Linked DNA regions of Canis lupus familiaris. The protein of the gene in region 1 interacts with the protein of each later gene in a pairwise test. Links are inferred from orthologs where the notes say so. Each region holds a gene or a part of one and is shown in the gene's direction. Other genes may lie near its edges.

Region 1 (4,359 bases):
GTGAAGCCTTCAGATGAGATCATAGTCCAACTGTAGGTTGACTACAAACTCAAAGACCTTGAGTCAGAGGCTCTCTACTAAGCTGTAACTAAATTTCTAACCCACAGAAACTGTGAGATAATAAGCCATGTTTATTTTTTTAAGCTGCTAAATTCTGGAGTAATTTGTTACCCAGCAATAGATATCTAATACAGTATCTCATCAGACAAATTATCAAAATAATTGGCAAAAAAATGGAAGTTTCCTATTCAACTTGAAAAACAATAACATTATTTCTTCATTCTCAGATCAATTGGCTCAATTTTGTACACCATTTTCTTAAAAATATGGTTTCAAAAATATGGTTACCATACTGCAAATATTAAAAAGGGAGGAGTAAAGCTGAAATGAAAAACATAAATCAGTTTCACTTTGTAGTAATAAAAATCATGATACATTGATTTGGAGGGAAACATCTAGGATCCTTGAAAAATAAAAATTCAACTTGTTAAATAGACTCCGTTGTTTAATGACTAACTGCTTACATAACCTAAAAATAAAAACAAAAAAAAACTTCAATGAGGATTGGGACTAACTTATGCAGTTTCGTGTAATAATATTTAATCGGAACACCCGCCATGGAAGAGAGTAGAGACCAGTCACAAAGAAAAACAAACAGACAAATTAAGAACCTGCCAAATCTGTGACATTTGAAGCACCGGGCAAAGCCATCATGATCTTAAGTAGAAGTGTTTGCATTCGTATCACTGAAAAGTAAGCAAAGAACCGAAAACTGCATATGCATCAAGAAAATACTCTATTTGAAAAGCAGCACTTGGGCTTGAAAAGAGTAACCTTTGCCATGTCTCAGCTTTATTTCATAGCGAGGCTGGGACACTCCCTGGGGTCCCAAGTTAACCTATACTCCAGTGGCCTAGAAACATAAGGACACACCCACTCCCGCCTCCTGGTACAGACTCCACATTTTAACAAGCCGCCGCGGCTGTCACTCAAGATGCTCTGCGCTGCCATTGGTCCCAAAGTCTTGCTGGTTGGCAAGTTTCTGCCAACTGGCAAGCACCGGTTGTCTTTATTCCCGAGAAGAAAAGTAAAAGTATGCAGAAGAGAGAGGCAAGAGCTCTGAAATATTTTGTACCTGAGCGACCTGCGATCCCCACCGCCGCCGCGACGAATCGGCCTCTGGGCGGGGGCTTTTAGTCAAAAAAGAAAATGGCTCAGCCAGGAACTGATGCCCAGGCCATGGAGAAGCCGGTTCAGACTTTACTCGTTCCCGCCGGTGGAGCTAACAGCGGCGAGAATGCCAAAAGCAGCGCAGGATCCCCCTGAACTCCGCGCACCTCAAGCTGCAGCAGGCAGAGCTGCCGACCGTCCGACTTTTTGACGTTTCCTATTGTTGCCGGAAGTGACGTTAGGGTTCTGAGCCTTAGAGAAGCCGCGTTTTTGTTCCGGGTATTTACGATTCGCTATAGATCCCCCGTTTCTCACTTCGTCCCCCGAGCTACTCTAAGCACTAACATTAGGCAAACTTTTAATCTGCAACTTGGGATCGGGCTGGCCATTGAAAAGCGCCTCGGCAGAGCCAGCGTCCTCGGGGGTCTGGACAAACGTGGTGTGGAATCTGCAGCGAGGAATCGTGAAGCACCGAGGAGCCGGCAGCTTTGAAGGTGTTGCCGCGGCGCGCGGCGGGCTTCCAGCCACTGTTGAAATACAAACGGTCGACGCGAGCCTCGGGCCGCCGCCGCTCCTCGCTGCTGTCGGCTGGGCTCCGGTGGCTCGCTCCGGTCGCCTATGCTGTCTCCCCCTGTCCCTGCTGAGCGGGGCGGGAGGCCTGCGGGGCCCTCCTCCGTGCTCGGCGGCTGCTGGGGAGGCTGGCGACGGCGCGCCCCGGGTTATGCAGGGGAAGCCTCTCTCTGCTGCCCTTTCCGAAACGGCGGGCGGGAGCGAATGACCAGGTGTGCCTTTTCATCCTTTTAAGTCGAACGGAGGGAGGGGAGTCGTAGAAGTGCCCCGCCTGTAGACTCCACCGGTGTGGCCTTCCTTAGGATAAAGAGCCAAGTAGGGCAGATCGTGGCAGCCAGCTCAGTTTAGGGTTAGGGTGGGCGAGTTACAGGCTGATTCCTTCACTTGGCAGCTCTGAGCTCAGGAAAGATCAGCCTCCTCCGAAATGCGGACTGGAAGGAAGAGGTGAAAAGCTGAGCGTTTCCCTTGCTTGCGTTTCCCTGGGTTTTCTGTATTTCTCCATCTTCTGGACAATTTAGGGTTTTTTGATTTTTATTATTTATTTTTATTTTTATTCTTTTTACCTCTCTAAGGGGAAAAAAAAAAAATCAGCCTTGGGCATTTTGATTCCGAAATTATGGGTACCCAAGACTGTTGCCCTAAAGCGACCCACAAATATTTTATATTCGTGAGCACTTTGTGAACATGGCAAGCCTACTGAGCTCCTTGCTCGACCCGCACCCTCTTTGTTTTTCTCCCAATATTCTCGGTGTTTTTCCTTTTCCAGACCTTTTCTGCGTATCTCTTAGACCAGTGTTTCCCCGAATATCTTTTGCGAAAATTTCGTAAGCTTAATTTTACCTCCTATTTTTGATAACGAGTTTTTGTTTGTGTGTGTGTGTGTGTGTTTTTAATAAAATCTAGTATTGTAAGATATGTCACAAACTCTTAGCCATGGACCGTAAGCATTAAAGTCCGTGTACCTGCTTCATTCTGAACAAAAATCACTCTGAGTTCAATGGCTTTCCATGGGGAGGCATCATTTAGGAACTCTGACTGCAAGGAGACTGAGCTAGATTAAAAATCATAAACTGCTATTGTATTCCGTTTTCACGGCGTCTCCCCCAATAGTATATATATATTTTAAAAGGTTGGTTGGTTTATCTATCTATCTATCTATCTATCTATCTATCTATCTATTTATTTATTTATTTATTTATGATAGGCAGGCAGAGACACAGGAGGAGGGAGAAGCAGGCTCCATGCAGGGAGCCCGAGGCAGGACTCGATCCCAGGTCTCCAGGATCAGGCCCTGAGCCAAAGGCAGGCACTAAACCACTGAACCAGCCAGGGATCCCCGCGTCTCCCCCAATAAAAGTAGTTAGGCAGATCTGACTTGTGGAGATACCTCTCCGGAGGATGCTAGGAAGCAATATTGAGTACACCGTAATGGTTGGAATCTATGTTACAAATAGTTCTCCTCTTCATTTCTTTTGATAAGGGTTATAAAGTGAAAACATTAATCAAGCTTAAAAAAATTACAAGTTATTTTTCATTTCTGCAGGTACTGTGCTAATAAAATGCACATAACTTGTAGATTGGCTTCTACAAGTCATAGAATACTTTAATTTTAGTATTTTTCAGTTTTGTAATATATTTAGCAAAGTCTTTCATGAAAATGTAGAACAGTAGCTGTCATTTTTTTGTATGATACTCACTTTTATCCCTTTTTTTTTATCCTGTTTTATTACTTATCTCCTTCACCTGCAGATTCAACCTGTACTTGTATCTTACCCTTCTTCAAAATATTTGTTCTGCTGATATGGAAGAGGATGTGTTCCAAGGACATACTTTGTTGTCAGAAATTCCATTATCAGAGGTAGAAATCTGAGACATTGACATATGTTCCAGGACTTCAGAGGAAGGAAAGATACCACAAAGTATTAAACAAAATTACATGTATTAGAAGCATGGAATATACATTTGAAAGAATTAAAGGAAATCTATGGAGAGATACACAATTTATATAAAAGTTATAGAATGCCTTAGATGGAAAAGGTACCCCTAGAAGAATCATATTAAGATAGGTAGGTCTGGAACGTAATACAATACTATATTGGCTAGTGGCAGTACCTAAGAATATATATTTTTTTGCAGTTACAACCAGATTAGTTCCCATTTCATCTCCCAGGGAAGTAAGGCTGGTCTTGGGAAGCCCTCTCTTACTGTTTCCCTATGTCCATCTATCACCTAGTCATCCTAAAAGGTGTTAAATAAGGTCTATTTTCTTGGCCAGTATTTTGTATAATGTGATTTCAGAATCACTCCCTCTTTTTCTAGTTATCTTCCATTTGGCAGTACCTGAAATTCCTTCTGCCTAAAAAATGTAAATATTTAGAAGTAATTGATTAACTGAAAAATACTAAAATCCATGCATGTTTATAAATTATATTCAATAACCTGTTCTTTACCATATCCCTAAAGGAGAACAGTCTTGGAACAGCAAGATACTATGTTCCTAAAAAGGGGGGAAGCAGCATTGAGTGGCTAGCGGCTCAAAATAGAAAGCCTACTAAGTTTAGGATTTTGCAAATTGCTGACCTTATTAATACAGAGAAAGTATGTAAGGAGATGTTTTGT
Region 2 (2,612 bases), on another chromosome or scaffold:
GGATCTGTGAACAAGTTTCTTGTCTAAGGGCACAAATCCCCATGTAGTATGGGGTGGGGAATTACAAGATTTTTGAGTATGCTAAATCAGCAAAAACTATGCTATCTTTAACTGAGAAAATAGATGAAATGAAAGAAGGTCATGGAGCTCCCAAAATTTGACAAGAGGAAAACAGGCTGATAAAACTACTCAGCTGAAAACATGTGTTCCATTCAAAATAAAAGGAAGGTGATTTTGAGGACAGAGCCGAGGGCCTAGAGGGCAGAGCTGTGGGCCAAGATGAAGTCATGGGATCAGAAGGAGCCACAAGCTACAAAATATTATTCCCAGACCTTGAAATGTATGTAGGTTTGTCTGCTTGATCCACATTGCTTGGATCAGACTCTTTTCTTCCTGCTACTTCTCTCTTTTGGATTGGAAATGTCTTTAATTGTTACCGCTGTAAATAAACCCCAAACAAAGCAGAAACACCAACTTCGTGGAAAGGGAAATTAAAATGAGAAAAAAATAATGGGGCGCCTGGGTGGCTTACTCGGTTAAGCATCTGATTTTGGCTTAGGTTGTGATTTCAGGGTCCTAGGATTGACCCTGGCATGAGGCTCCATGCTCAGCAGGGAGTCTGCTTCTCCTTCTCCCTCTGGTTTCTCCCTGCTCATGCTCTCTTTCTCTCTCTCGGTTTCTTTGTCTTTCTCAAATAAATAAATAAAAACTTTTCTTAAAAAATGAGAATAAAATGAGAGGAAACACCTCTTGGTGCTTTGGCTTCATCTAGGACAGCCAAGAAGACACAACTGGACTTAAACTAAGTGCAAAGTACACTTCTCTCTCTAAACAATGTTTACGTGATTCTGAAAGATGCATCCATTGAGCATCTCATTATGACTTCCACAATGATCAAGAGATATTTTTCAAACAGTGTAAAATGAAGAGGCTAATACAGGTATGAAATAAACGTGTATTAAAAGATTCTATTTAATCAGTGAGGGAATGGGAAGAGGATATAACTGGTTCATAGAGAATCCAAGGATTAGATACAGGAATGTTAATCAAAAATATTTAAATGCATGTGTGAATGGAGGCAAAACTGGTTTCATTATATCATGGAAGGGGGACAATATAATCTCTACTAGACAATACATTTTACATATTTATCACTAACCTACAACTAATGAAGGATTGTAAAAGGCCTCAAAGACCATATAAGGCCAGAATCAGATAATGTAGAGTGATGTCCTAAGACGGGGAAGTTTCCCATTGGAATACACATTGATCTCTACAATGTTAAAATCAAGCAGAAAATTCTAGTTCTCTCAAAATCAGGGTCTGTTCATTAGGGTGACCAGGTTCCTGTCATGGACATTTCTGGGCTGAGGCCTGATAAGGACACAGTGGACACCAGTGACATCCCAAAGTCTATGATGTCACAATGAGGGGCCAGGGCTTAGGAATATAAATGGGCGGGGTTGACCCCTGTTGTCTTGAGAGGCACAGTGCAGCTGGGGAATCAAGCAGAGCTGATGGAGCCAAACCCTGCCAACATCATGTCAGGGAACAAAAACCATGAGAGCTCCAATCAGACTCAAGCCCATCTTGTAACAACTGAGCTGCAGTTCCCTGTGAGCTATGTGGACCGCCTCCTGCAGGAAGATCAGCGCACCCACTGCCTAAGTTCAACATCTACTGAATTCCTCCTTGCCATGCTCGACTCCCTCACCGACTACATCCTGGAGCGTGTAGGCACTGAGGCCAATAACAACAACATGCAGACTGCCCCACAAGATGTGGAGAGAGCAGTGGGCAGCAACAGAGAGCCCCAACAATGCCTGAAGGATACAGCCTTCACTCTGTTTGATGAGATGCCTAGATCCAGGAGAAATGGCTAAAGCCTGGGTCCTAGACTTGTGGGAGTCCTCACAGCCTTAGTCTAAGCCAAGACTTCTTATAACTGAGAAGTCTGGCTTCTGTCATCAGTTAATGCTATTAAAGTGTTGAAGCTCAGGGCTATGCCTCTGACTTGTCTCTGTTTCTGTCCTTCCGAGTCGGCGGGGTCTGTGAGACACCCAGGAGGAGATCTCCTGTGGGGAGTGGAGGGAGGAAGGGGTGATCAGTGTGGGAGGCTACAGTCCAGTGTTTCAGGGAGGGGTTTCTCTGGGCCCTGGGGGGGAGTAGCTGGCTGCAGAGGAGAGACTTCCTCATGGGCTCTGAGCAAGTCAAGGCCTGTGGGCTGAGAGATTGGCAGCGGGTGGGGGGCTTCCCAGGCATGTTGAGTTCCCAGAACCATGGTGGTAACTGGGAAGGTCCTGAAGCTCGTGACTGAGGTGCCAGGAACCTTATTCATGAGAAGGGAACGTGTAGAAGTCAGAAGGTGATGGCAGTGCGGGTGGATGGAGAGGATGGCAGAGCAGTTGACGTGAACTTGATGGCATGAGCTTTACGTGAAGATTGAGGGGCGATGGGGAACCCATGAAGAGGTATACAGAGTGGAACGGTGCTCAGGTTGATTTCATTCACTGATACCCTGCCTCATTCCAAAAAAGGATGTAAGACAGATAATATTAGTGCTGTGATAACGTTTTGTGGAGTATGTCCTTGTGTCCTCTCCTGTGGACACT

What was found. The genes of interacting proteins can lie anywhere in the genome.
Region 2: the proteins of CEP44 (region 1) and H2AP interact in binary tests that used the Homo sapiens proteins (3 or more experiments, as listed by UniProt). The two-hybrid records come from large-scale screens. The link is inferred for Canis lupus familiaris from reciprocal best matches to the Homo sapiens genes CEP44 and H2AP.

Annotation. Positions count from the first base shown.
Region 1 is NC_049246.1:24,948,213-24,952,571, forward strand, and holds the start of CEP44 (centrosomal protein of 44 kDa), read left to right. Parts: upstream 1-1,424; 5' UTR 1,425-1,952; intron 1,953-3,489; exon of another isoform or gene 3,490-3,806; intron 3,807-4,359. UniProt on the Homo sapiens protein: Centriole-enriched microtubule-binding protein involved in centriole biogenesis. In collaboration with CEP295 and POC1B, is required for the centriole-to-centrosome conversion by ensuring the formation of bona fide centriole wall.
Region 2 is NC_049260.1:32,883,268-32,885,879, forward strand, and holds H2AP (huntingtin-interacting protein M), read left to right. Parts: upstream 1-1,463; 5' UTR 1,464-1,517; coding exon 1,518-1,883; 3' UTR 1,884-2,013; downstream 2,014-2,612.